Linked DNA regions of Diceros bicornis minor. Each later gene encodes a partner of the first gene's protein in a complex. Links are inferred from orthologs where the notes say so. Each region holds a gene or a part of one and is shown in the gene's direction. Other genes may lie near its edges. The genes, in order: DR1, MBIP, KAT14 and TADA2A.

Region 1 (7,466 bases):
GAATATGAAAACTTCTAGTACAGCGTGTAATTCATAACAGGCACAGATTTGTTATCCTTTGGGCCTAACTTACTTTTCCTGCAGCACATCTTTCTACACCTCTTTATATACCCTATGATGAACAGAGCCACTCTAGGCTACTTAATTTCCCAATTCACGATATACTTTTGTGTTTCTTCTTCAGCTGCATACTCTTTCCTTCTTTATCAAATTTCTGCTCCATCTTCAAGCCTCAGTTAAAATGCTGAGTCCTCCCTAAAGCCCTCTGTACCTCACAATTGGTGTGTTAATCACTCCTTCCTCTGCACACTCTTCCTCCCTAAAGCCCTCTGTACCTCACAATTGGTGTGTTAATCACTCCTTCCTCTGCACACTCTTAGTTCCTATGTTATCCTGTATTTCATTTCAATCTGGTTTATATCCTGATTCTTCCAACAGATTGTAGGGTCCTTGAAAACAAGAAAGGTGTTGTATTCATCTTTATTTCTTCCGCATCATACTTAGGACAGCAGACACTCAGTTGCTGAATGAATGTGGGAATCAGATGCTGTCTGTCTTCTCTTTCTACTGCGTATAGGACATCACTTCCTTAAATGCCTACTGGGGCCTCAAACACAAACAGGTGCAAAAGGAAGCACATCTTCTCCTCTAAATAGCTCCCTTTCAATTTTGCTGTTTTGGACACTACCCTAATCCCTAATCCCAGTTTCTGAGGCTAAAAATCTTCTAACTGTATTTGACTAATCTGTTTCCTTGACTATCTAGGAGCCACACTATCATTTTTTTCCCCAACACTGTGTAATAGTTCTTGGAATCACCTTTCTTTTCACTTCCATTATTCCATTCCCAGGAGTAATAACCATCAGTGTAATGATTATTTTTTTTAACAGTGACCACCATTTATTTAGCATTTAAGTTCTGGGCTTTTTTTGTATACACTTTGTCATTTGATCTTTAAAACACCCCTATGAAGCAGGTATTTTTATCCTTATTCTATAGATGAGAAAAATCAAGACACAGCTTAAATACCCTGGTCGTTACAATTAGTTAAGCAGCAGAATGGGGATCAAACCCAGATCTGAAGCCAAAGCCCTTGAATTAACTGGGCTCTTTCAAGTTGAGAAGAACAAAACCAGGATTTTTGAAAAGTATTATGAAGATACACAGGAAGCAAAGCAGCACAGGAAACTGCTTCATGGAGGCCTACTGTCTCTTTCAAAAGCAGAATACACCAACACTCTAGCGATCCAGTTATTTTGTTGGGCTCTCTGACACCAGTACCTGAGGCCCTGAAGCTTCTCTCCTTGTTTCTGTTGCTCTTGTTATAACTAACTGACTGACTGACTTCTCTCTCCTCTCCCTCGCTCTGTCTTTTGGCTTCTATTACTTCATGACTTCTGCTGCCTCAAGTGTTTGGCTCTGTCACTTCTCTCTCACTACTGTACAACACAAATGCTTTACTTCAATTAAGGTGATCTCCTCACTGTTTACAGAACAATTTCTGTTTCCACAACCTTATGTTGTTACTTTGAACACAAATACTTTCTTCTCTTCTCTCCACCTATCAAAAGCCTATATTTCAAGGTTCCTTCATTACCTCTTCTCAATAGCTTCAAAGGATTCTTGAGTGATTACTGTGTGTTATGTCTTCCTGCTGACCCATGATGAACCCATAACATGAGCAAGAAATAAACCTTTTGAGATTTGGGGGTTATTTGTTCTTGCAACATAATCTAGCCTATCCTGACTGCTATACTAACTTCCAGGGGATTATTTAGCTTCTCCAAGCTTCAATTCCTTATCTGTAAAATGGAGATTAAAATAGAATCTATCAAATAAAGTTGCTCTGAGGATTAAATGAGATAATACAGGTAAAAGTACTTAGCATAGTGCTAATCACAAAAGAAGTATATAATAGATGCTAGTTTTTTTAAATTTGTATTATCACCAACTAGCAATTGGTGTGTTAGCAATGACAAATTAGCATAATGGAGAGTAGTATTTGCTTTTGTTAACTGTTAAGCTTCAAATTACAAATATTATAGATCAGTAATTTTAGCTGAAAACCTGGGCATCTTTGAATTAACACATTTTAAGATAATTACTGTAGAGTTAGCCTAACTCATAAGAAACAGCCCTATTACGTGTCTTTTCATATCATGAATTTTAGGATACCATGAAAAAAATGTTTCGCATATATGCACTCTCTCTAAAACGCTTAAAGCTTATTAAGGAGATGTTATCCTTGTTTTTAAAAGCCTATTTATAACAAGGATATATTGTACTATAAACAACTATTTAAATATGGGATCCAGGGGCCGGCCTGGTAGCACAGCCATTAGGTGCACACTCTGCTGCGGTGGCCCAGGGTTCGAGGGTTCAGATCCCGGGCACGCGCCAACATACCGCTTATAGAGCCATGCCGTGGCAGCATCCCATATAAAGTAGAGGAAGATGGGCATGGATGTTGGCCCAGGGCCAATCTTCCTCAGCAAAAAAAGAGGATTCGCATCAGCCATTAGCTCAGGGCTTCCTCACAAAAATAAATAAATAAAGGGATCCAGATTAGCATATTTCCTGATATATCACACTACTATTTATATTTCATTACATTTTCTCTCAGCCGTATTATGCATGGTTTATTATTGTTTGAAGACTGCCCAGACCTGATAAAGATGATAATAAATAAACACTAACACCTATATAATACTTCATAATGTTAAACGTACTTTTATATAGTCTCATTAGACTTTGAATCCTGTGAGTTATATAATACTTCCATTTCTAGTTGAAGAAAATGAGGCTCAGAGAGTGACCTGTCTAAAGTAACAAGAAACTGGGACTGAAACCTAGGTCTCCTGACCACACATTCCATGCTTACGCTACCAGAGAACCCTGTAGTGATAAACTATCACTGGAATAACAACTTAACACGTGTGGTCTACAGAACCACATATCATAAACCTATAAGTCTATATAGCACAAATGTCAGATAAAAAAGCAAAATTATCATTATAACACTTTTTCAGGAACGACAAGATTTGGGTCAGTGACAATGTGATAACTGGAGACATTTTTTGCTAGCTTTTTCAGACTGATAAACTTGGTAAGGCCAAGATAAATTTAGACAAATTTAAACCAACAGTAAACTGACTTACAAAAACATTTCATAAAAAGCCAACAACTGAGCCAACAGTTTCACATTCCTGTTTTGAAGAAAATTTTAAAAAACTGTTTCATCAAAGAAGTTTTGTTTTGATTAAACTTAGTAGCACTGAAATACAAGCGTCTACACTTCAGAAATTAAAGAACCCATCACTGTACTGGAGAAAATGCAAAATGGAAAAAAACGGTGTAATTAACTGAGGTCTCCTCGAGGTGCCACATCTAGGTTCTCAGACTGAAACAAAACGTTTTAAGAAAACATTTCAACAAGCCAGTTGCTGTTCCATGTATCAAGAACAATGTATCTGATTAACTAAAAAGTGCAAAAACGGACTTAAAGTGTATCTCGTTTACTTTTTAGTAACTGCAACACCCCACTATTTATAACACGACCCCTTCTTCCAAATGACACTTAGTTTTCAAAAATAATGCAATTTTTGTGAAGAACTTGACACGTTGATATTATTAGTCACCCTGGAGAGAAGCAAAAATCAGAGTTGCTTAAGACACAAACGTATTATTTTTCCCCCTCTCCAGAAGCCAACGTGCAATACAACATGAAAAATGACTAAGTCGCAACCTCATAACGTGGTTCATCGGACGCTACGTTATTTCCACTAAGTTGGATCTTATTTCTGGTTTCCGGTTTAGCCATTAGTAGTGACTGGAAGGGCAAGTCACTTCTCTGAATGTTTTTTTTCCCCATAAAACCAAAAAATAGGGGGAGGACCATAGAGAGCTTTGATCCCAATAACGCCTATTAGATACCCTCAAAAGCTTTTCCTCCAAATGATGCAGACACAAGCACAAGGGGTTCTGCTTTCCCCCGTCCCATTCCCGAGCCCAGGCCTCCTTCCTCTTCCTTCCAAGCCCAATTCGGGCTCCTTAAGAAACAGGAAAGAGTTCTTTTAACGAAATCCTGCGCTCTTTTGTCCTCAAACGTGGATGGGAGAAAGTTTCGAGGCCTCAGCCGGTTGAGACTCTACAGGCGATCTACCCTCGCCCGTCCACCCACCCACCGCACCCCGAGTCCGGCGCCGCAGCCCCAGAGCAAGCGCGTGCTCGGGGTTCTCCGGTACCGCGAGGCGCGCGCTCGCCCGGCTACGGTCCCTGTGAAGGGGTGGGATCCCGGGGCGCGTGCCGGGACGGCCGCAGGCGGAAGCTGCTGGCGGCGAAGACGGGCGGTTCCCGCCGGCGCGGGTGGGGGAAGGGCGGCAGTCAGACCCGGAAGTCGGTCTGGAACGGAGCGGGGGGAACACGGGGGGGGGGTGAGGCTTCCGGTAGCGCAAAGGGTGTCGGGAGGGGCTTCCAGCAAACCTTCTTCCCTGGCCTCTGGAGGGACCACCGTTGCCGCGGCCTCGGCTTCCACGATCTGCGTTCGGGCTAAACGGCCACAGCGGCCGCCGCTGCCGGGCGTCTTGTGCCTGGCTCTGTCCGTATTCGTTCCCGGGCGGCCGCCCCTGTTCCAGCAGCGGCCGCGGCCGACATGTTGTGAGGCGGCGGCGCTGGTGTCTGAAGGATGGTTTGGCCGAGGCGGCGGCAACGGCTGCTGGCGGCGGCGGCAGCGGGGGCTCCGGCTCTGTAGAGCCAGCCCGCTGGGTGTCCGCCTGGTACCGCGGCGAGGCCAGTGCCCCGGGACCGTGCCTGTGCTCGGGCGCCGTTGGGGACCGGTTAGGCGACAGCGCCCGCCCGTCTGAGGAGACACGAAGGTGGTTCCCCAGTGTTCAAATTTCCGGACCACCTTGCTTCCCCTCCCCGACCTGAGCAGTGCTGTCCCCGGAGTCCTCAGCCCCCGACTTTCCTCCCAGCCTCGCCCTAAATCTCTCACACACACGGGTGTTCCCCGCCCTCTCGAGCTCCTCCCCCGACCCCTTCATTTTCTGCACCCTCTTCTCGGCGCCCCCGGATCTCTCTCCAAGGGCGGCCTTTTGAAACATCTTCGTGGAGTAGTGGACCAGAGCTGGGGAGTTTTTAAAAGTCAGGGCGCGAGAGAGAAGATACGATGGCTTCCTCATCTGGCAACGATGATGACCTCACTATACCCAGAGCTGCTATCAATAAGATGATCAAAGAGACTCTCCCCAATGTCCGGGTGGCCAACGATGCCCGGGAGCTGGTGGTGAACTGCTGCACTGAATTCATTCACCTTATATCTTCTGAAGCCAATGAGATTTGCAACAAGTCGGAAAAGAAGACCATCTCCCCAGAGCATGTCATACAAGGTAAGTGGCGTAGTATGTGTGGGATTTTGTTTAAATGGGAGTCCGGGGACAGCCTGCTAGTCGCGTGACCCGTTCATGTCAAAGCCTTCATTCCTGTCCCCTGAGAAGTACTGGTAAATAGACAAGCCACGCGGGCGTGGAGGCAGCCGGTGCCTTAAGAAGATCCCTATGTAGTATTCTCGTGGTACTTTTCATCCAGCGAGGACAAGTAAGGATTGCAAGCATTTAGCAATCAGCTAACATCCCCCAAAGGTCAAGTATTAGTAGTGATCTCAATTTACAGGCAGGTAAGCCGAAGCAAGAAGAGTTTTGCCTGCTTGAAGGTGAACCTAGACATGACAACTGAGAAATTGCCTGCCTAAAGTGGAACCTAGATCATGACAACTGAGAAATGAACCCAGAAGTCTCCCTTGGAAAATTGAAATTCAGACAGGAACTTCAAGCACGAGTGGAGACAGCACCTCTTCCTCACCCGACCTTTTCGCCGATGTAGAGGAAATGAATTTTCTGAACACATGAGTAAAAAAATTCTTAATATGAATGTGTTCAACGTTGTAAAGTTTATTGATGTTGAATAAAGAGAGTATATTTTCTGTTTTAAAAATGGTTTAATAGTCCTACCGTTCATCAACAAGTTACCAAAGCACTCCAGTTCTGTTCTGTAGGAAAAGGGTAGAATGTTCTTTAATCTTTCTTTTTCTTTTATATAGCTTGCTTTGTTCTATGGAGATAAGTTTTTAAAGCTTGGATTGAAAGATTGTAAGAGATTTTTTTCATGGAACATTTTCCTGTCCCTTCCTGCTGCCATTCCCATTTAGATGTATCTGCTTAAGCTTTTATTGATGCTTTTATTGAACAGCACTTCTGAAAGTTTTAACAGTGCCCTCTGTCTTATCTTGGAAAGAATTTAGTCCAGTAATAGTCATTGGGGGGACTGTATTCTGATGGTTTGTTTCTGAGGTGGGGAGACATGTTTACTTGTCATAATGTTTTGGGAAGCGCTTAAATATACTCTTATGAAAAAGTTGCATTCAATTTGAGGTGATAAATTGCCTTTTATGATAATCCAATTAAAATTCTAACAATTTCTTGATTGCTTTTGAAGTCAGAAAAAAATCATGGTTAATTTTAATCATTTTGGTAAGCAGATGGTTGTCTACCATTTTATTTTTATAATTTAACTTTTTAAAAGGTGGCTTTGTGTTATTCTGAAATAGAGAACACATCTGTTCATGTTCACCGCATCCAATATTTTACTGTCAATATTGACAAAAGGATTAAATGATTCATTTTTGATCCTTGATGATGTGTGGAAGGTAGATTTAAAATATACTCTGCCATTTCCATTTCAGTACAGAGGGAGAAAAAAAATCCCTAGGAAAAAGCATATTTGATTTTAAAGTTAGTATTTTTTTCCTACTTGTTTGGTGTGCTGAATCTTGGTAAGTAAAATGAAAGCCAAGTTGTCTCTTTTTCTTCTTGTGTTTTTATTTTTACATTGCATGTGTGATTGTTGTCATGTCTTTCGCAAGATTATCCAACACGGATAGCTATAATTTTCTTTTACAGCTCATAAAAAAGAAAAAAGGTCTTTTATCAACATTGCCTTTCTAATGAAAATTGCAAAAGATTTCTAAAGGATCTGCTTGAACATTTGTTTATACCACAGAAGTGGGGATCGTTCCAAAAATCGAATAACATATTACAATCTGTCTTCTTGGGTAGAGTTTATTCTTTTCTAGGATATATTTAGATTTCTGATTGACATGATGGAATAAAAGTGCAGCTGTAGCAAGCAGTATGCTAAATAGCTCAACTTTGGAATATGCTAAATTCAGTTTAATGTATGAGTCAGAAAGTTACAGTGAAAGCATTTTCCTTTGTGTCCTGAAGATCATTTACATATTAATTTTAAAAAATCATGTATTGACCTGTTATAGTCTTATAAATTTACCTTTTTTTCTTGTAACATTGCTATTGTTAAGTGGATAAGGACAATTTTGTCCAAAATTCTCTCCAGTTAGGGGAATAGATTTTATATATTGAAAATCTCATTTGCTTAATCATTTTAAAGAATTT
Region 2 (7,166 bases), on another chromosome or scaffold:
TTGGTTTAGTTGTGTCCTCAGAACTTGATTGTAGTGCTGAGCTCCTTGATAACAGAAAGTGGAACTCTGTGATCCATTGCATGACAACACAATTAGTCAATATTACTCCAACTTATTTGATCATGGAAACTTCTGTTGAAAGAAGCATCTTATAGGACTAGAATTCAGCAGAACAAACTTTGGGAAATGCTGGCTTAGCCATACTTCTCTATTCAGTCTATCCTCCTTGCACACATCAAGCACGTTCAAATTGCTGCTCACGTTTTATCTAAATTGAGAATCTGTACTCATCATTTAAGCCTCAATTCATGTTTTATATCAAGTATTTAGAGCTTTTCCTGACACTGAACCCAACACCTTCCCAAAGGAACTGATTGTTTGCTTTATACATACGTCTAATATGATCATTGTCACAATATAATCCTAGTTGTCTGTTTACATATATGCCTAGCCCACTAGAATTGGAGCTCTTTGAGAGAGAGTCCTTGTCTGATTCGTCTTTGTATCTCCAATGCTGATCAGAGTGTCTGGCATGTAGTAAGTACAATTAATTTGTATGGGTGTCATTCATGAGAATGGTCACAGAGGCTAGCTATATTTATTCATTAAGAAAACTTTGAGCATTTTGAATTTGCTATTCCAGAAGAGGATAAACAGACATGCTTCATTATTTGAAATGAACTGTTTATAGCATTCTTACTGTGGGTTACAGTTTCCCCTCAAGAGTAGAAACTTGTTTCTTTTTTTTTCCATTTCACAAATCTGTTCACCTTAGGCAAATAAATTCAGCTCAGCAAGCATGTACCGAGCAATTACTCTGTGCCAGGAACTTTGCTAAGCCTTAAGTACATGAACATGATACACATAAATGCTCATAGTTCAATGGGGAGGCAGATTCATAGTCAAATAAATTTCATTATCAATGTGATAAGTATTACAATGGAAGTATATACAAGTCGTAGGAGTAGTTTACCAGAGAAGATAAGCTCTTTATGAGAAGGACTGTGAGGAGACTTCCCAGGGATTTCTGAGTTGGAGTTGAGGAGGAATAGGAGTTTTCCAAGCAGACAAGAGGCAGGGGTGTAAATAAAAACATGTAGGCAAAAAACAGAAAAGCTTTGAAGAAGTAAAAGAAGTTTCAAGAGCATTAAGCACCAGAAACGAGGCAGAAAACGAGGCTGGAAATGTAGGCAAAGGCCAGATCATGAGAAGAGCCTTAGATGCCATTCTAAGGAACTTGGATTTATCCATCAGGTGATGGGGAGCCAGAGAAGGCAAATAACATTTATTTTTCCTTTTCTGCATTAGGAAAAATTTGTACTACCATACACTGAACAAGCATCTGTTGAGCACATATTATATCTCAGGCATTTTGCTGTGCACTGGATTATTTATAGGGTGTGCCTTTAAAGTTCTTCAAAACGGACATTTTTGTTGATAAGATAGATAGCCTAGATTTCATTTACAGTTTCTATCCTCCCAATTGATTCTTAGCATAAGCTTGCAGGACAGTATTTCTAACTCCGTTGCTAATGCCAAGACCAACACTTTGAATCATTTCTGCCAGGGAGCAGATTTTTCAGCAACCCACTTCATAAACTGTAATTAGTCTTCTATAAATGGCAACTTATTTCCTTTATTCCCTTTCTAAATTTCATAGCTTTCATCATATTTTTGTTATACATTACTATCTATATATTTCTATTTAAAGTTAGCCCAAGGAAATCCACATCTTTTCAGCCTACAAACTCGTCTATTTAAAATAAATAGGAGGGGCCGGCCCCGTGGCTTAGCGGTTGGGTGCGCGCGCTCCACTGCTGGTGGCCAGGGTTAGGATCCCGGGCGCGCACCGACACACCGCTTCTCTGGCCATGCTGGGGCTGCGTCCCACATACAGCAACTAGAAGGCTGTGCAACTGTGACATACAACTGTCTACTGGGGCTTTGGGAGAAATAAAAAAAAATAAAATAAATAGGAGAAAATAAGAAAAATTTCCAAAACGAAGGTAGTAGGTGTCAGAAAGGAGAAAGAAAGGTCCCTGGAAAGAAGAAATAATGCAGAAAGGAGTTAAATTCCAAGAATTATCTAATAACCAATACTAAGATATAAGTACAAGTCTGGATATTTAAACAGAATTACACAATTTATATACAAACCAAATGGCCATCAATTAGTTCTATATTAGGGGTTCAAGTCTATATTACGGGTTCAAGTAAAACTTGAAATTCCAAAATCAGTGATGGCAAAGAAAGGAAGGAGCAGTGCCTTATCAAAGATGGTAATAGACAAAGCATGTTCCCATGTTTCATACCAGAGTCATGAATATTTGAAAAATTCACACCCTAGTGGCCCGCAGATGGTATAGTGGTTACATTCATGCGTTCTGCTTCAGTGGGCTGGGGTTCAACGGTTCAGACCCTGGGCATGGACCTACTCACCACTCATCAAGCCATGCTGAGGTGGCATCCCACATAGATGAACTAGAAGGGCCTACAACTAGGATATACAAGTATGTACTGGGGCTTTGGGGAGAAAAAAGTAAAAGAGGCAGATGGGCAACAGATGTTAGCTCAAGGGCAATTTTCCTCAAAAAAGAAAAAAAAGGTTTTAAAACAAATCTTCACATCTGGGTGAAAATAAATGATCTGAAGCTGGTTGCTAATTTGTTACAAAACAAAAATTTCTAGTTACCCCATTACAATATTCTCCTCTAACAAGAGAACCAAAGGCAAAGAAAATATGCTAACATTGCTAAGAATTATGAATTTAGGTTAGCTATGGGGATGAGTGCGGTGAATAAGAAGGTTGCTCAATTTGGGGTTAGATATTGTGAAACCTTTTTCTGGATGCCTCTAGATGTAGGCTGGGTTATAAACTGTATATCTTGCTGTGGAACATGGGAACAGACAAGATTTCTCAAGATCCTGTCAAGCTTGGAGATCTTTGGAAATGAAAGCCTAATTAAGAGGCTCCCTAGGGACAGGTCAAAGACGTTCTTTTCTCCCTGCAGCCCTTATCCCAGTTCCTTGATGCCTTATTCCTCCCCTTTCACTCCGCCTACTCAAAAACTGGAGAATACCTTATGCAAATTTCCACCTTTGCTTCCTCTACTGCAACTGCATTAGACTATTAGAATTAAGAATTGTAAATCCCTCGTCCCTTATCTTTGAACTGATGATTTTTATTTATAAGTGTTTTTGAATAGAGCTTAACACTAAAAATTCTTCTACAACTTGTTTTTTCAATGGGACAAAATTTTTTTTTAATGTTAAGATTCTACAAGATTACAAAGTCCTTCAAATATCTTTTAATAAGGCTATCTGATAAATAATACTTCGTCAAATTTCAATTTGGATTTGTCTTCCTTACAATTTCAAAGATTGTATTGCATGCAATTACCTACTTGGGTTAAATTCCTGTTGGAATCATATTGACTGTTTCACTCCTTTGAAGCAGTTTTAGGGTGAGCGTCTCTACGCTATCACCCAGAGAATAGCAACTGATGCACGTTTTAAAACTGGACATAATTATTTTGCAGATTTAAAGTAATTAATGTCATTTCCTTGATAGTAAATGTGGCATAACAGAGCACTTGATTGTTCTTTTATATAGCCCCGTCCCTCGCATGAAAAATTAGTGACGTTAATTTGTGTAAGTTTTAAACAACCTTGTAGCAATGAAAACGTCCTATCCAATTATGACAATTCTGTATGAAAGAGTTCTTCAACGTTTAGAAATACGTCTGGGGACCGCCGCATCCCTGACCAGCGATTTTTCTCCATGCCACGCCAGAGCGCCATGTTAAAATTTCAACTTTTAATTTGGGGCTAAAACTGTAACATTTAGCTATAAGTTTCCTCTTACCAACACTTCTGAGCAACATCTAAGAGTCAAGGTAGGCTTCATGAAGCTAAACCTCAGCCGACCACGACTCCAACCACCATCCCAAATACTGCACCCAGCCTTGCACAGGTCCGCAATTCCTGCTCTCAGTCCTCCGCGTAACGCTATCGCTGCATCTGATTGGTGCACGTGCTGTCAATCACATAGAGAGGGTGGGTCCTCAAAGCTCCGCTCTCAGCGAGACGCTGTGTTTTTACGTCATCGCCGAGCGACGACAGCCGGAAAGGGAGGGGTTGGGGCTGTGAGCGCGTCTCTGTGGTGGCGGGGGTGGCCTGCGAAGGTGTCATGGCTGCGGCCACCGAGCTTAGTCGCCCTAGCATCGGTAACAGGAGCCTGGAGCGGAGCTGCAGCCCCAGCCTCTCCCAGGAGGTGCTCTGCGAAATCTTTCGCTCCCTGCATACCCTGGCCGGACAAGTGAGTGGTGGCCTGTGGGAGTAGGGGTATGGGAACCGTGCGGCCCCTCCCCGCTTTTTCCTCTGGCGGAGGACGGGGGCAGCGGAGGCCTGCCGGGTGTGGGACCCGCCGGAGAGGCTGCGGCCGGGGGAGGAAGGAGTCCAGGCCCGGACGCTTGCGGTCGGAGTGAGGAGGGCCGCACCGGCTTAGTTCAGGACCGGGGGCAGACTAGATTTCATTGCAACTCTTCTCCCCCAGAGTGAGTGAGGATAGTATAAGAGCAACCCGGCTCCAAGAGGAACAGGCTTGGAGAGAATCAGTGCGGAAAAGCTTCTCTGAGGGTTTGCGAGGCGTCTGGCGCTCAGGATCCCTTTTCCTCCAGTTCATTCGTTAGAAATGGATACGTTAGTGCCGCCTGAGATTGCTAGAAAAACCCTCTCTCCGCCTTGCTTGGGTGATTTGCTCTTATGAGTCACTTGGTTTATTTCTTTTTTCCTTCTGGCCATTGTGTGCAACTCTTACCCTTTCAAATGGGGAAAAAAATAAAAGGAATGAATCTAAAATACTTATAGCATGAAGTTGGATGAGTTATCCGTGGTTGATACTGTTCGCATCAGAACTGTTGTTTAGCTAGTTGTTTATCTATTAACTAGTTTAACTGGCTGATAAATAGCTTTTGCAGAAGTATCATAATAAAGTTGGGTTTAAATAAAAGTGCTCCTTACACTCTATTACAATCAAGTCACTATATATATATTATATATGTTTCATGATGTAAAATGCAAAACAAATTTTAAATGAGAAACAACCTGAAAATAAGTTTGTCAGCCTTTAAAGGAATTTTTTTCTCTTATATCTTAGACGGAAAATTTTTTAGCTGTAAAAGTTTGTATGGGTCTGGTACTAGTGCATGTAACAGACACAGCAGGCATTTGTGTCGAAGATATGGTAACTTTATGAAAATAGAGCATTTGTCTTATTTGAGAAAATTATTTTTAAAAGCCTTGGGTGGATGGAGAATCGATTTTTTAAAAGATTATTTCAGTAATTTTCAAAATCCTAATATGTTTGTCGTGACTTACAAAGAGCATTACTCTAAGTTAAACATTGGTGTAATGGAACGATTATTCATAGAATCTGATAAAAATTGTAACTTAAACTCAGTTGTTTGCCAAAGACTTACTACAAAAAAATTTTTTAAGGACTTGGGGACATTAATATTTCAGGCTTAAGACCCAAGACCTGTAAATGGTTTAAAAGTTTGAGAACTTTTTATGGCATGAAGATTGGAACTTGAAGGTTTATTTATATTCTAATGTCAGGATAAAAGAATTTCGTGCTCACCTATAATTTACAGAGGTTTTTTTCAGTGATGAGATATTTTTTAAAATAATGTTAAGAAATAATTTAAACATTTTGTTTAAAATATTTTGCATACTTAATTTTTAAAGCTCATTTAAAAATTTTAAACATTCAGATATTCTGTAGGTAGAAGTAGAAATGTGATTAAAGTTTATGTCACCTGCCAAAAATGTTTAGAGTAAATATTTGGCGAGTGTACGTGACATAGTGAACAGACCATCTATACGAGTGTCAAAAAAATAAGATTGTCTCATCGATTAAATGTTAACCATTTTGGTAATATTTTTTATGTATTGAGATTCATTGTTTAAAGATAAGAATGAAAGCCAGAGTACTAATAAAATTTCCTCTGGAGGAGATCCCTATTTCCTTTTGCAATGAGTTTAAAGGATTTTTTTAAAATGTATGTTGTAATATGCCTAAGTTCGTTTTGTATAGTATCATTGTATTATTAGCTCTCCTCAATAGGAAACATAAAGTTGAATGTTAAAAAGTATTTTCTATTCCAGGTTTCAAATTTACTGGTTTTGACCTTATGGCTTGCCTCTGGATGGCCATTTTACCAAGCTGAAGAATTACTTACTGTTAGCTTGGATTTTCGTATTAATTTAATAATGTTTTTACTGAAAATGCATATTTAAATAGTCCATATTGATGGCAGACTAATACATTTTTGAGTGAGTGGTTTACAGTTACAAGTTCTATAGGGTAAAAATGCATAGAATTCATATTACTAATAGAGAATTGTTGAATAAATAGTTGGATGCGTTGGGATTATTTTAATTTGTGACATTATTATGTGGCTTTCTTAAAAGACAAAGGATCTTTAATTGCACTTGAAGGCTTACATAATTCTGCTGAATTGAAATGAGAATATGATCCTAACGTTAAGATTTATTTTCTATGAGTTATTATTTTCTCTAGAAAATTTGATGCTTTGTTTTGGTTGAGGATTTGCCTGCATTATCCCCAAACTGTATTTATAAATTTGTTATAATCGACTATAGATCTCTTTGAAGACTGTAAAAGTATAATAATACTTTGCTTCCACACATAAGTTGTTGTCTAACAAAATCTTTATAGGTGTTAAATAATATAAATTAAGATTAATGTGGTAATCTTCATGTAAAACCTTAGTTAAATTAATATTAACTAATATTTGCCAGTGCAGCCTACACAAAACTTCCTGTTTCTTTATGCTTGTCTAGTATGGACTTCAGATGTTTCTGGTCTCACATTTGAAGGGTAGTAAATTTCTGTCAATTAGTATTCATTCAATATAGTGCATTTTTTTGGTAACTTTGGATCTCTTTTGTTCTTTGTATAGTGATTCATCCTTTTATTATAATCACAACTCACAAGATCTGTATTTGAACTAATGTAACACTTGTCTTTATTTTGTAGAAAACATGACTAATTTTTAATAAATGATTTCTGAAAAAATAACATAGTTGATTGTAATATGCAATATATCCTTATAGTATGCATAAACACATGTCCTAGAAAA
Region 3 (7,859 bases), on another chromosome or scaffold:
TGTTGTATCTTGTCGGGGTAGAGTTCACGGAAAGCTCACTCCGCCATGATGCTGACGTCACCTCCCTGTTCCCTGTGAATTCTAGTGTGAAAGAATGACAATGAAAATATCTCTTCACTGGAAAGCCAAAGTCTTTCCGTGCCTTGCACAGCACTTTGCGCTACTGTCAACGCACTACTTCATGCCCTCACGCACATTCCCAGTAACGGCGCTATCAGGAATCCTCTCCTACCGCGGCGGGACCTGAGGCTCCCAGGGAGTAAAAGTGATCTCTTAAGGATTTACATGGGCAACTCGGTGACCAGCGCTTTTCCTATCAGGAGGCAAGGAGGTGTTGCTGCCCCGTTAGCATGCTCTTTAGCCAGAAGGGTTTTCGATTTTAAGAAAAATCAGACCCTGACCAGCCACCCCAGATCGCCAAGGTGAAAGCAGGTGACCGTGTCTACACGTTTAAGAAGCAAAAACTCCATCTCCTGGTGGCACTTACCCCGCCACAGGGGCAACGGGGGCTGCGTTGGTGCAGCTGGTATTGAGCAGAGCAGCTGGGTCAGCCCTGCGCTCAGAAGGGACGCGCGTGGGAGAGGGGTCAGCAAGGTACCGCATCGGGAATCCGGCCCCCAGGACGCCTCCCGCCGCTGGGGACGGGGGGCGGGGGGCGGGGAGGAGATGAGGTGGCTCAGGCAGGGAACCCCCTACCCCGGCAAGGTGCTGGGGCCAGCTTTGGGTCGGGGCTCTTTAGAATTTGAATTGGGAGTTCTAACCCGGCCGCCTGCAGGGTGGGGAGGGGATCCCTCCTGTCTGGGGGCCGCAACCAAAGCCTCGCTTTCCGCGAAGCCGGGGCACCGCTCGGCTCTCGATTGCTCGCGTCTGGCGGCGGCGGGCGGCGCTCGCGGCGGCGGGGGCTCTGCGCTCGAGGAGTCGAGGCTGCCGCACCGGCGGCGGCGCGCAGGGCGGCGGTCCTACGCCTCGGGCGGGGGAGGAGGTCGCGGCGCCGGCGGGGGGATGTCGAGGAGCTCGAAGGCGGTGCTGGGCCTCTCGGTGGTGCTGACGGCGGCCACCGTGGCCGGCGTGCATCTGAAGCAGCGGCAGGACCAGCAGGTCGGTGTCACGTGACCGTCTCTCCGCGGGCCCTCCGCGCGGTGCCCCGGGCCTCTCCTCCTGTCGGGTCCTCGCGGCGCGGCTCGGCTTCTCCACGCCTTCCCGCTGCGGCCCGGCCGCCGCCCGCTCAGCCCTGGGCGCTGCAGCCCGCGGCCGCGTGCGTCTTCGGGGCCCGGGGGGCCCGGCCCTCCGCGCCGAAGTCACCTGGCTCCGCCAACGCACGCCCGCGGGTGCTCGGCGGCCCTGCTTTCAGGTCGCAGGCAGCTTGCGGGGATAGAGACCTTCCAGCACCTCATTTGGGCCGCTGGAAAGTAGAGGCGGGGAAGGGTTTCTTTGGGGTGCACCCAGCGAGTTACCGGCCTCTCTCTACCCCCAGGCCCAAGATTAGGTTTTGATATCTTTAAAAGTTAAAAAGGTTTTATCCCATGAAAAAGAAGGCGTCCCCGCTCTCGCCGTCGTGCTTTTTTGGCCAAGGTAATTTGGTGAGATACTTGGTTTTTCTTTTCTTTTTTTAAGGAACACTTTGCTATGGAAACTAGATTCAGGGAACACTAGAGAGACCAGCCTCCCAATTTTCTCTTTTCAGTACTTTTATTTCTGGAAATATCCGAGACTTACCGATCAGTGGACTGACCGTCCGTTCTGTATTTCTCAGTTCACATTTTCTTTCTTATTCAATTGGCAAACATTTAAGGACTGGTCACTGTGTGTCAGGCACCACACTAGGCACTTTGGGAAACAAAGATGAGGAAGCACAGCTGCTCCTGAGACTAAATGATTCAAAACAGTGCTGGGTGTTGAGTGTGAGAAGGAGCAACTAGGTCGTGGGTGAAGTCTCAACATCTTGGTGAGGGATTGGGGTTTAGCCTAGTTTGCCAATGGTGGAAGTAATGGACTGGATGAATCAATAGTGAACAGTTTTTTTTGCACTGGACGGTCTTCTGTGCTTGGTATACAGAGGTGAAGCACATGAGGTCTAGTCCTCGCTGTTCAGACTTTGGAAATCAAAGAGGAAGCCTGTAATGATACAAAAATTTTGAGGAGGGCGTAATGGGAGACTAATGATGAAAGGGCATGGAAGAGATTAGAGATTTGGGATTAAAGTACAGGTTCTAAGGGGGTAGCATTTGGAATAGAGGCAGGAGACTTCTTCCTCTAGGAAAGAAAAGACTGTGATCTTGAGAAAATTTGAGATGGAGTGGAGGATAGTATGTCAGATATAGCTCTGAGGTCAGCCAATGCAGGGACTTTTAAAGGGTACGGGCTAGGGATGAGTTAGAGCTTGGTTCTGAACCCTAGCTACACATCCCAATTCCTGGGTAGTTTTTACAGTGCAGCTGAGGCTGGGCCCTACTCCAGACCTATTAAACAACATCTCTAGGGCATGGGGATCCAGCTTAGCTTTGTTTTAAAATTGACTCACGGGATTCTAACATGTAGCCCAGGTTGAGAACCACTGTGTTAGAGAGTGGAACAACAGGAGGATTTAGGTATTTGGAAGTTAGAGATGAAGAAAAGATTGACCAGAATAGTGTGTTTACTTTACATCCAGTTGTTCATGTGGGTGGGCTTACTTCCCAGCAATGGGAAAGAGTAGGACAAAAGATTGAGGGGCTGGCCCAGTGGCGTAGTGGTTCGGTTTGGGGCACTCCGCTTCAGCGGCCCGGGGTTTGTGGCTTCAGATCCCAGGCGCGCACCTACAGCACTCATCAAGCCATTCTGTGGCGGCATTCCACGTACAAAATAGAGGAAGATTGGCACAGATGTTAGTTCAAGGCCATCTTCCTCACCACAAAAAAACATTGACATATTGGAAGTTTCAAGGAAGCAAGAAATAAAAGAATGATTGTTGTTTCCTGTTGTTCTTGACTGTCTACGACATGCCAGGTACTGTACTCTATGTACATCATCTTTAATCCTCACAGGAACCCAGCAAAACAAGTGGTACTGCGGGAGGAGCCAGAGTTCTAGGTGTTAGAGTTGTAATAGTGAAGAGGTCTTGGTGGTTTGTAAGCGAGGCGGTTAGTAAGGTAGTTAAGTGGAAGTCCCAGGAGGGATGTGCGAGGCAATCACAAAGACATTGAAACTTGGAGGAAGATAGCAGATGATGGATGGAGAGCAAGATCCTAAGCCATGTGCTAAAGTGTCTGAGAAAGGAAGGGTAGGATCTCAGAGGCAGGTGTGGAAACAGTGATTACAGTGGGTGTGGACTTTGTGCGGGGGGGTGCGTTGGGGTGTTGTAGGTGTGTCATGGTGTAAGGAGCCCAGGACAGGAAGAAATGGGGAGGGAGGAGTGGAATGAGTGTCTCCATTTCTGTCTCTGGAGATCTTGCAAAGGGTACAGGGTTCAAGAAAGTTGGTTTTCAGCTGTGTTATCAGTCCCCGGACTCTTAAATTTCCCAACTCCCCCATGATAGCAAATGAAGCTCTAGGCCTGGAGGAGGTCCAGCAAGTAGGTACTTGGTGAGTTTTTAAATAGACATAATAATTTAAAAAAAATGCCCCAGCCCCACTCCCATTAATTCTACCTCACAGGGCCACTGTTAAAAACTTAATAGAGTGTTTTGTGACCTATAATCTATAAAGTGTTAATTACTAGTAATGACTGGATTGATGCTTTAATAAGTCTCATCTTAGGTGCCAGGTCCACGTTCTGGAATTTTCTGCCTGTCTTTAGTGCTTATCAAAGTAACTACCATTGACGGGCCTTTATTTTTTCCTCTGATAGTAGCATTATTTTTTCCCCTTCTCTCCTTCTTATGTAATTGATTAGTAATTCTGAATAATTTTTACTTTTTCTCTTTACATTCTGGGGGGGCGCCAGTTTTTTTACTTTCTTGCTTCCTTACAGTTTGTTCAAGTTTTAGTAATCGTTTTTTTTCTTTGATGTTTATTATTCAACTAGGGTAATTGCTAACAGGAAAGTAGTTCAGAGTTGATGTAGTATCTCATCAAGTTTTTAAAGCATCCTCTATCAAACTTTTAAAATTCAGTATAGTGGCAGTTTTTTCTCTTTTAATTGTTATTTCCCATTAAGTTTTCTATACTGAATGTTCAGGAATTTCTTAAAATATGATAAGTCATTTCAGTAATAACGCTATAGCACAGTACCCAGTTAAGTTGATGGTTTCTTTATTACATTTTACATTTATACAGAAAGTTACAGTAGTAACTGGGTATTTGGAATCTGAAGGTTTTAGGTGTATTTTGGTAACACTGTTGTTTGGATTTGGATGGCACAAGGATGGGAACCACCTGGTCAGGGTGTTACTGAAATCTGTTGCTTACGTTTTTAGAGGCTTCGTGACGGAGTGATCAGAGACATTGAGAGACAAAATCGGAAAAAAGAAAACATTCGCCTTTTGGGAGAACAGATTATTTTAACTGAGCAACTTGAAGCAGAAAGAGAGAAGATGGTATTGGCAAAAGGATCTCAAAAAACATGACTTGAAATGAATGGGAAAAATCGATGGGACAGACAGCGTTAAATGTGTGTGTGAGTGTGTTGATGGAGAACAGCTTAGAGAAATTTCAACCTTGTTTTTGTCACTGTCTTTTTAAACTTGATCAAAAAAAGGACAATGGGTCATATATTTTAAATGATTGCTTTAAAAGTCTCCTATATCTGAGTAAAGAAGTGGGCAGACACTCTTCTGAAGAGTTTCTGTTTGTGTGATCCTGATAGAAGCCGCTTTAAGCTTGGTGTCCAGAGCTTAGGATTGTTCCTGAGAAGCGCTTCTGCACCTGTGAGAAGGAAGGGATGGATAGTAACGTCCACCTGAGTGGTTTGATAAGTCGGCACGATGATGAAGCCACTAGAACATCTACCTCAGAAGGACTTGAGGAGGGTGAGGTGGAGGGGGAGACTCTGCTGATTGTTGAGTCAGAGGACCAGGCATCAGTGGACTTGTCTCATGATCAGAGTGGGGACTCCCTCAACAGTGACGAAGGAGACGTGTCGTGGATGGAGGAACGGCTGGCCTACTTCTGTGACAAGTGCCAGAGATGGATACCAGCCAGTAAGGAGCTTCTCATTTCCTTTGATTTGTCAGTTCCTATGTGCAGGTTTGTTTTTCTAACCTGTGAAAGAAACGTGAATGTAAAACAGACCTAAGTAAAAAGATAATTATTATATTTATTATTAGTTTAGTTGAATAATTACAAATTTATATAAAACATAGACACATTTGTACTAATAAAAATTACTGTCAACCTCTATCATGTTGTTAAATTAACATTCTTGATGGTAATCCAATAAAAATTAGAAAGTTGGAAATCCTCTGTTACTTAAAGACTTAGTCACATTTTTCTTCCAAGATCACGTTGTTATGGATTTGGGGCCAAATTCTAGGCCGAGTGTAGAATTAAAGGTCAAGTTCACAAAAATTACTCTGTTAATATTTAACTTAGGTGGAAAACTCCTGCTGTTGTATGCTGAAGTGAGGTCAGAATTAGCAGATTAAAAGTGTTTTGTGCCCTTTTTCTAGGACCGTTCTTGTTTCCTACTTGTTGGCCTCCTTGTCTACTTCGAGAGGCACATAGTTACGTACCCCCTTGACACCTCAGTGTTTCAGCTCCATCTTTTAGCTGCCAGCTTCTTAGCTCTCAGGGAGTATGCTTTGCCAGCCATCATGAGACTTACCAAACAGGATTTTTCCATTAGGCAGAGACTAATAAAGACATATGTACTGGAGGAATACTTTGTGTAATAGAATTGGTAACTAGATCAGAGAAATTTTTATATATAATTGTGAAGTGGGTCCTTTTCTGTTACGTGGAAATGTTTTCAAGATGGATTCATCTATTCAGATTAATAGTTACTATTAATAGATAACATTTTCACAGAAAACAAACCTAGATTTTATTACATATTAGCTAGTTGTTGCTTCCGAGCTGTCTCTGCTTATTAATTCAGGGTTCTGCCTGAAAATCTCAGTGGCTTTCCCCTTGTCCTCGCAGGGTACGTTTTAAACTGTCCTTCATGATCGGCCCCTGCTAACTTCTTCAGCCTCTCCTTAGTAGCCTCCTATCCCCACATATAAACAGAACTTTGCAGTTAGGATGAGCTTTTTCTCACCACAAACAATTATTTCTTATCCCGAGGACTTTGCACATTTTAATTTCCTCTCTGGGCTATGCATCTCTATAGCCTCCATCCCTCCCCCCATACACACAATTGCCTCTCTTCACCCGGCCAATTCTAGTCATCCTTTGGGTCCCCTGTAGACCCTACTTTTTCTAGCTCTCTTCCTAATATGTGTTGGGTACCTCTTTTATGTGCCCACACGTTGCCCTATGGCACACATCACATTCCACTCCAGTGGTTTTCATGTCTCCCAGAGTGTCAGCATCACCTGGGAACTTTAAAAAAAAAGCAGAGACTCAGGCCTCACTTTCAGAGATTGATTCATTTTGTGTGGGGTAGGTCCAGGCATGTTTAAAACAAAAACTGTGCGTGATGCTGATGCACAGTGAGGAGGGAGAATCACTGTGCTCTTGTGATTACCTGTTTCCCTGTATGTAGCCCTCACAGAATTTGCAGGTACTATGTCTGTCTTGGGTGTAGTATTCCTGGTTCCTAGCCCACTGCCTAGCACAGTGGGAGCTCAGCTATTTTTTTTTTTTTTTTTTTTTTGATATTTTAATGGTTTCTAACATTGTGAAATTTTGGGTTGTACATTTTTGTTTGTCCATCACCCCATATATGACTCCCTTCACCCCTTGTGCCCACCCCCCACCCCCACTTCCCGGGTAACCACAGTCCAGTTTTCTCTGTCCATGTGTTGGTTTATATTCCACATATGAGTGAGATCATACAGTGTTTGTCTTTCTCTTTCTGGCTTAGTTCACTTAACATAATACGCTCCAGGCCCATCCATGTTGTTGCAAATGGGACGATTTTGTCTTTTTTTATGGCCGAGTAGTATTCCATTGTATATATATACCACATTTTCTTAATCCAATCGTCAGTCGAGGGACACTTAGGTTGCTTCCACTTCTTGGCTATGGTGAATAATGCTGCAATGAACATAGGGGTGCATAAGCCTCTTTGGATTGTTGATTTCAGGTGCGTTGGATAGATTCCCAGTAGTGGGATGGCTGGATCATAGGGCATCTCTATTTTTAATTCTTTGAGGAATCTCCATACCGTTTTCCATAGAGGCTGCACCAATTTGCATTCCCACCAGCTGTGTATGAGGGTTCCTGTTTCTCCACATCCTCTCCAACATTTGTTGTTTTTTGTCTTGGTGATTATAGCCATTCTAACGGGTGTGAGGTGGTATCTTAGTGTTGTTTTGATTTGCATTTCCCTGATGATTAGTGATGTTGAGCATCTTTTCATGTGCCTATTGGCCATCTGTATATCTTCCTTGGAGAAGTGTCTGTTCATTTCCTCTGCCCATTTTTTGATCGGGTTGTTTGTTATTTTGTTGTTCAGTTGTGTGAGTTCTTTATATATTATGGAGATCAACCCCTTGTCAGATGTATGTTTTGCAAATATTCTCTCCCAGCTGGTTGGTTGTTTGTTCATCTTGATTCTGGTTTCATTTGTCTTATAAAAGCTCTTTAGTCTGATAAAGTCCCACTTGTTTATTTTTTCTTTAGTTTCCCTAGTCTGGGTAGGCATGTCATCCGAAAAGATTCCTTTAAACCCAATGTCAAATAGTGTGTTGCCTATATTTTCTTCTATGAGTTTTATAGTTTCAGGTCTCACCTTCAGGTCTTTGATCCATTTTGAGTTAATTTTTGTGAGTGGCGAT
Region 4 (7,563 bases), on another chromosome or scaffold:
AAGACTGGTGACTCATTAGATAGATATCTTGCATTTTGTGTAGATCAAAAAGAAGTCAGTGAGGTGAGGAAGGGGCAGAAGAGATGGGTAGCAGAGGCCTGGAGTCATGAAAACTCTGTTTAATGGCCATGGCATTATGAAAATCCTGACACCTGCTAACTCTTCAGTTTTAAATAGTCAGTGGCAGTTTACTAGTTACATTTGGACAGATCTTGGTTTAATTATGGCTGTGCTACTTAGTAACTGAATGACTTGGGGCAAGTGGTTTTACCTCTCTGAGCCTCGTTTTTCCTCATCTGTAAAGTGGGATGCAGTAGGGCCCTTTAGCAGAAATTGTTTTTCCCTTCTGTTCACCTTTGAGATCTTTAGGGCCTTCTTACATAGAAGCACCCTAGACAGGCCACCGTGTGGAGAAATGGCTATATGTAGACCTTACATTTCTTCAAGTAGATTAGCAGAAGTGCTTCAACTCTTCCTCTGCAGACTGGTCATAGGTGGGGTGGATTAAATTAAATAAGCAGTCTAAGAACATTCGGAAGGAAAAGGATTGATTCTCTAACTTCTTTGACTAGGGTGGCCACAAAGGGAGAAAGATGGGGTGGGGTACAGTAAGCGGGGAAGGAAGGAGGAGGGCAATGCTCCTGAATGCAAGAGGCATTAGCAGAGGCTGAGGAAACGAACCAATCCTCAGCTGGCTGTGGGGGAGCCAGGGCTTCTGTGAAAGTGCCTTAGTGTGTGAACTCAAAGAGCTGAGAGCTAAGAGCTCAAACCCTTGAGGCTCAGGCCTTTTGGGGAGTGAAGCCGTCTCTACTGAGTGGGTCACAGGAAAACTCCTTGCCTTGAAAAGCCCCTGTAAATGGCAAAGGGCCCTGCTCCAGGACCTAAATCTCTGGCTAATTTACATTGACTGGGTATATCTCAGAATTTAAAGGGAAGGAAGCTGAAACCTAGAAGGCATAGCTGGACTTTCAGACTTTCTGTTTTTATCTATTTGTACACCAAACTACAAAGTGCCACCTCAGTTAACAGGAAAAATAAATATTAGATGAGATAAAGTTTATAAAGTCTTTCAGCATTCAAGACATGGTAAGTAACTAGAAATGGCAGAGAATCATTTCAATAGGGAGGAGGCTCAGAAACCGCACTTCTGATTCTAACCACAGCAGCTTAGTAGTTGAAGAGGAACTGTTGGGATATTTTGGACTCAGTCAACGGCAGCCACGTTACAGAGCCTGACAGTAGGATACAGTTTTCCTTGTTGGGTTTTCAGTTCAAAAGTCAACCTTCTCAGTTAGTTAAGAATGGAAGGGCTTGGAGGATGCGCCATTAGTCTGTCCTGAAAGTCAGTCTTCAAAAATATTTGTCCAACCTGGACTGATCTTGGATATTATTAATGTAAATTTCTGTCTTAAAGAGGACAAAAGGTGTTTTTTCAGGTTCCTTCACAGACATGGTTAGTGAGGGGAGCAACAAGGCACTCAGTCATCTCTGTTATGACAGGTTAAACACAGGGTGCACCGGAAGCATGTAATAGGGCTACTTAACCCAGACTTGGGAGGGTCAGGAGCAATGTTCCCGAGGAAGTGATGTCTAAGCTGAAGGGGAGGTACAGTGGCAAAGGAAGCTTGGAAATAACAGAGTGTATAAGTGGAAACAGAGATACTTCCGTCTGGCTGGAGAATGAAGTGTAAGACAGGGCAGTGATGATGAAGAAACAGGGAGATGCTAGACCCTGAAGGGCCTTCTACAAAGAGCGACCATGCAACTTATTGTACAAACTGAGACACTTCTGAGAGTGAAATAAGACAATATTACTAATTATATGGAGACAACAGGAGTAAAACAGAACTGTCCTGAGCAAACTGGGACTTATGGTCACCTGACTTGTAAGTCACGTTCAGGTGCTTAAACCTCCAGTGAAAGCATAGATCGGATATCTTCTCTTTTTACCTTATACATTTTGCCTGAGTGACTTCATCCATACCTTTGCCTTTACTTGTTCGTTTCACAAATATTCGTCCAGGATGAACTTCTGGGCACTGAGGTTACAAAGAAGAAAAGACAGTGTCTGTCCTCAAGCTTTGTCTAAAGAAGACACACATCCAAAGAAACAATTCTAATACAGTTATACAACTTTAGCCCTGGCCTCTCCTCTGAGCTCTCAACTCCCATATGCCATTTCCACTTGGGCTGCAAAACACAGATCCAAAACAGAACTTTTAATTTCTCCTCCAAAACTGTTCTTCCTTCAGCTGGTCCTTCACTTTCCCTTTAACTGGTCTTATAATTAATGCCACTATCTACTACATTGTTAAGGTGAAAACCCAGAAAAGCACTGGGTTATCCTTCTTCTCACTCCACATTTTAATTTCCCACATCTTTCTTAAGCACAATGACTAAATTGGGGCCTAGAATTCTGAGGGCCTAACATCAATTGAAGAGGAAGGGTAATTTCCAGGTGCTTAAAGGCTACATTTTTAATGAATAGATTCCAGTATTATGTGAGGTTGTTTTTTCCACAATAGTACAACACTGATGACTCATATTCAGTTTGCTGACAATCGTGACGTCCAGATCTGGATATATGCCCTAGTCAGGCTTGAAAATTTTCAGTTTAGATGAGAAAGACATGAAGATATCCTAAGTGTTTGACCCTATTTCTTCTTTGTGGAGGTGAGAGTGGTTGTAAAGATGTACGTGAAACACCAATGTTAATAAACAATCTGTTGAACTGCTGTGTAAAAGGACAATTTATGCTTTAAAGGGCAATTTTAATGTTTCTACCATTTATTCTCTACACAGCTGCCAGAATGATCCTTTTAAAACAAATCTGATTACGCCTTTCCTCTCCACCCTTCCATGGTAGTCTATCACATCCCAATAAAATCCAAAGTCCACCCATGGCTTACCAGACGATACATGATCTGGCTTCTGCCTGTTTCCCAACTTATTTCTCTAATTTGCTGTGCTCTAGCCACACTGGTCTCCTTGCTACTTCTCCAACATGTCAAGCAAGTCTCTATCCCAGGGCCATTGCAATTGCTGTTTCTCTTCTAGAATAGTTTTCCTCTAGAAATCCACGTAGCTGCCTCTCTCATTTAATGATTAGATTTCTGCTTATGTGCCATTAAGGGGCCTTCCTTGTCCACTCCATCTAAAAGAGCACCCCACATCACTCTTACCCCTTTATCCTGATTTATTTTTTTCCATAAAACCTGCCAGATTACTGGGCATTATCTCTTATTTAGTAATATATTATGTGTATTGCTTTATTGTCAATCTCCCCCACTGTTATATGAGGCAGAGACTTTGTTTTGTTTACTGCTGAATTCCCAGCACCTAGAACAATGTCTGCTCATTAAATATTTGTTGAATGAATGAATAAACAGATTTTCAGGATATATCAAATGTAAAACTACTCCGTATTTATTGACATGATGCATAGGAAAATTTCTGGAAGAGTGTATACCAAAATGTTAACTGTTTATTTAACATGGTGGGAGCTGGTTTTCACATTATTTTTGCTCATGTGAATTTTCTGATTTTTTCTTTAGAATGAACTTGTATTACTCATATACTAAAAAATGAATAAAGAGGCCACACAGGCAGAATGTGTAAATGAATTCTAAAAGACATTGGGCAAATTTATGCAAGACAGAATTCTAAACAGATGTAACAGCATAATGGTTAAGATAAACCACAGTTTGAATCACCTTCCTCAACACTTTCTGGCAGTATGATCCCAAATTATTTAAAAGCCAGAGTCTAAATATCTTCACTTGGAAAATGGGGATAATAATAGTGTCTACCTCATAAGGTTGTTTTTGAAGATTAAATGAGACCATGTATACAACCTCCTTTGAACAATGCCAGGCATGCAATAAATACTCGACAAATGGTAGCTATTATAATAATTAGTAGTAGTAATAAGAGATGTTGGGACATACCTAGCCCTCAAGATTGACATCAGAGTGGCCCACCACATCCTCTCATCATTGCGCCTCAATCTGGGCCTCTGAAGCCCAAAGAGGGGATGGTTCTTTCCAAAGGAGGTAATTGCGACGTTCCAGGAGCATCTGAATAAAACGTACCCTGTTTACCCTTAAACCATTCAGTCAGTCTGGTTAATCCATGGGCAGCACTGCAAGACCTGGACTGGAGAGGCGGCCACTGCTCGCCGTCCTTGGGCCCAGTCCCTCAGCCTCAATTTCCTTTGCTGCAACAGGGGTGGGGGGTGGGAATGTTAAAAACACAAAAGCAGGACAGTACCGGCCCGCTCCACCTCACCGCCCTCTGGAGGGGATCAAACGGCACCACGCACCGGCAAACGTCTGGCGACCGGCAACGCGCCTCACGGGAAAACTGATAACTGGTCGGACTCAAGGGTTAGGCCAGCTGCTCAGCCCCATCCTCCCAGGCCTCTGCGGGAGGACAGCGACGGGCACGCGGCGAGGGCCCGGACAGGGGCTGAGGGGGCGGCGGCAGGCGCGCGGCACGCGGCGCGCTCGCGCCTGCGCCGCTCGGGAGCGAGCACGCAGCCCCAGGGGCGCGCGCGGCTGGCGGCTCCACGGCGCGGAGGAGGGGGACGCGGCGAGGTGAGGCACGAGGCACTGTAGGGCGGGCGGTGGCGGGTGCGAGCCCCTTTAGGGGGACGAGGGGGAGGCGGGGACCGCGAGGTGCGGCGCGGGAGGGGCGCTGCGGGTTCCGGTGGCCGGAGAGACGCGGGGGGTGTGGAGGCGGCAGGCGCCAGCCACGCCGGCTGTGGGGGAGGGCGGTGCGGGACTCCGCATGACCTCTTGGGCCCCGCCCCGCGGCGAGCCTGTCGCGTCCCGCCCTCTGGGCGGCCCCGCAGGAGCCCAGCCTCGGTATTCCTGTCTGTGCAATGGGGCGCGTAGCTGCGCTGGTAACTGCCACGGTGTGTCCTGCCCCTGACCCATGTTTCCCATTGAGTTTTCAAGTAGGCCTTCCAAAGTAAATATTTCAGCTCCGTTTCAGAGCTGAGGCTGTCTGAGGCTCAGGTAAAATGGCTTGGCCGAGAATATACAGCTAATAAGGAACGCAGTGAGGATTTGAACCTTGTCTGCAAAACTCCAAAGCCTACACCTGTCCTTTGCACCACACTGAGTGCTGTTCTTCACAGTACCTTCCTTCCTCCTCCCACTAACTTCTTTGAATGTGGCAAATGTTAATTTGGAGCTAGCACCCGTTCTTTCATGGATGTTAGTGTCAGAAATGGCTCAGGAGAAGAAATGAGAGGAAAACAGAAGGTTCTGCTCGTTGCAATATTGTGCTTATGACATGGAGTGTTTACCAGACTGTGTCTACATCCTTTACTTGAAATTTCTATTAACCTGTTGAAACAGCACTGCTGTTCCCTACCTGTAAGACGTTGTGCAAGTATCATTCTTTCAGAGCATCCTTTCCTTCTTTGAAAAAGCAGCATGCCTCAGAAGGTTGTGAGGATTCAAAGAGAGAATCCACATAGAGTGGTACCACAGTATGTGGCATGTGAGAAAAGTTCAATAAATGTTGGCCATTATTTTATTATACTGAGCGCATAATACCCCGTGCTAAACTCATTTTTCTTCAAAGACTAACTTTTCCTGGGACTAGAGCAGAGGGAGAACCATCCCACTCCAGCCTACCCCCAAAAAAGACCAGTTCATTGACAGCCATGTTATTTGAGTGTTGCGTACGCTTAGTGATGAATTATTCCCCAAGCTAAAAATATCAGATGAAAGAAGTCACTCCAGGAGAACTAAAGATGAATTAAACTTTTATAGGACTAACATTTGCCCATCACATTTGTGTTTATTGAGTTCTTCCTCTGTGCTTGGTACTTTAAGGCATACAAATTTGTACTGGATGTAGTCCCTGCTTTCATTTAGTCTAAAAATGGGGGAAATTCAGAATTTCAGCATTCAGAAATAATCCTCAGAAAGTAGAATGTGAAAAATGCCAGAAAAGAGATAGATGAAAAGCTATGGGAGTTTAGAAGAAGGAAGGATGTTTTCTTGGCTTAGTGTGAAATATGATTTCATTTCTGCCTTCAAGAAGATCTTTGTAGGGGCCGGCCCGGTGGCGCAAGCGGTTAAGTGTGCGTGCTCTGCTGCAGCGGCCCGGGGTTTGCGGGCCGGATCCCGGGCACGCACCAACGCACCGCTTGTTGAGCCATGCTGCGGTGGCGTCCCATATAAAGTAGAGGAAGATGGGCGTGAATGTTAGTCCAGGGCCAGTCTTCCTCAGCAAAAAAAGAGGAGGATTGGCAGATGTTAGCTCAGGGCTGATCTTCCTCACAAAACAACAAAAAAAAGATCATTGTACATTGTACATACCTATTAAATTTTGTTCAGAGAGTAAATTAGTGAACAAGTGTATGTCATAACAGATAGAATTCCTTGGTTTCTAGTAACAGAAACTCATTCATGTTGAAGTATTATTGGAAAGAGAAATGAGGGGAAAAAACTAAACAGTTGAGCCACCCTTGGAGATGAGGATCTGAACAGCCAGAACTCATGGACCAAATTCTTTGACTAGTGAATGACTGAGCTTCAACTGCCTTCTGTCCTTATATGTCTTACTCAGGATTCAGATTTCTGTAAGAAGAGATCTGGTTGCTTTAGCTGCTCTGGGGGCAGGGGATGGAGTATTATGATTGGCAACCCCGCCAGAACCATATGAAATGTGGGAAAGTCAGTTTCTCAAAGGAAAGAGGGCTAAGCGGAGAAGTGATGCTGGGCAGAGAATACCAATAGTTGTTTATTGGAGGTACGTAGCCTTTATAGAGGGCTTACTATGGGCCAGGCACTATGGTATATTATTTATGTGGATTTTGATATTTAATTGTCACAACAACTCCAGGAGGTAGATGCTATTATATCATACCCATTTTACAGAGGAGGAAACGGGCTTTATCTATAGAATGATTTGCTTAGCATTATAAAGCTAGGATGTGGTAGAATTGAGTATGTTGCCTTATCTTCTCTTTATCTTGTCCCTTTGAATTATTTCCTGATCCATGTGCCACTTTTGTTTGTTCATAGGGGTCATCAAGCTTTGGTGTATGTGTTGGCCATTTCTGAAATTTCCTTGAAGGAGCGCTGCATTGAGGAAGATCAAAGCAGCAGTTTTTGCCAATTAGGGCATGGACCGTTTGGGTTCCTTTAGCAGTAAGTACTGTGGGAACAAGTCCCAGGTGAATATTAATAGCAAACTGAAATGGAAGCTGATCAGAGAAGAAAAATAAGCACTTTGAAGTTCAAGCTCTGTGAATCTGATCCTAAAGGATTAAAAGTATCAAATCAAAATAAAATCAACCGATACTTATTGATTGCCCGCTGAACACATGACACAAACATATCACCCTAGGTCTTATAAGAAAACTAAGCTCAGATGGACCAGGCATAGTATGATTAACCTGCAGTTAGACTTAAAAAAACAGTTGGATTTCTCATTAGAACCAATAACATATTTCAGATGCCTTGATAGGAAAGAGTCAGTGGTAGAATAAAGGAAGTGCCACCCTGCCTTTTTAGATGGAACTTGGGTTCTAAGAGTAAACCA

What was found.
Region 2: DR1 (region 1) and MBIP share a complex: the UniProt entries of both Homo sapiens proteins name them as parts of the ADA2A-containing complex. The link is inferred for Diceros bicornis minor from reciprocal best matches to the Homo sapiens genes DR1 and MBIP.
Region 3: DR1 (region 1) and KAT14 share a complex: the UniProt entries of both Homo sapiens proteins name them as parts of the ADA2A-containing complex. The link is inferred for Diceros bicornis minor from reciprocal best matches to the Homo sapiens genes DR1 and KAT14.
Region 4: DR1 (region 1) and TADA2A share a complex: the UniProt entries of both Homo sapiens proteins name them as parts of the ADA2A-containing complex. The link is inferred for Diceros bicornis minor from reciprocal best matches to the Homo sapiens genes DR1 and TADA2A.

Annotation. Positions count from the first base shown.
Region 1 is NC_080743.1:29,476,395-29,483,860, forward strand, and holds the start of DR1 (protein Dr1), read left to right. Parts: upstream 1-4,454; 5' UTR 4,455-5,167; coding exon 5,168-5,387; intron 5,388-7,466. UniProt on the Homo sapiens protein: The association of the DR1/DRAP1 heterodimer with TBP results in a functional repression of both activated and basal transcription of class II genes.
Region 2 is NC_080744.1:13,267,973-13,275,138, forward strand, and holds the start of MBIP (MAP3K12-binding inhibitory protein 1), read left to right. Parts: upstream 1-4,156; 5' UTR 4,157-4,189; coding exon 4,190-4,318; intron 4,319-7,166. UniProt on the Homo sapiens protein: Inhibits the MAP3K12 activity to induce the activation of the JNK/SAPK pathway. Component of the ATAC complex, a complex with histone acetyltransferase activity on histones H3 and H4.
Region 3 is NC_080758.1:44,871,703-44,879,561, forward strand, and holds the start of KAT14 (cysteine-rich protein 2-binding protein), read left to right. Parts: upstream 1-4,857; 5' UTR 4,858-4,858; coding exon 4,859-5,117; intron 5,118-7,859. Other genes in the region: protein PET117 homolog, mitochondrial, read left to right, coding at 1,003-1,098, 4,395-4,544. UniProt on the Homo sapiens protein: Component of the ATAC complex, a complex with histone acetyltransferase activity on histones H3 and H4. May function as a scaffold for the ATAC complex to promote ATAC complex stability. Has also weak histone acetyltransferase activity toward histone H4.
Region 4 is NC_080757.1:25,286,686-25,294,248, reverse strand, and holds the start of TADA2A (transcriptional adapter 2-alpha), read left to right. Parts: upstream 1-4,548; 5' UTR 4,549-4,595; intron 4,596-6,931; exon of another isoform or gene 6,932-7,043; 5' UTR 7,044-7,144; coding exon 7,145-7,169; intron 7,170-7,563. Other genes in the region: ACACA (acetyl-CoA carboxylase 1), read right to left, coding at 1,951-1,982. UniProt on the Homo sapiens protein: Component of the ATAC complex, a complex with histone acetyltransferase activity on histones H3 and H4. Required for the function of some acidic activation domains, which activate transcription from a distant site. Binds double-stranded DNA.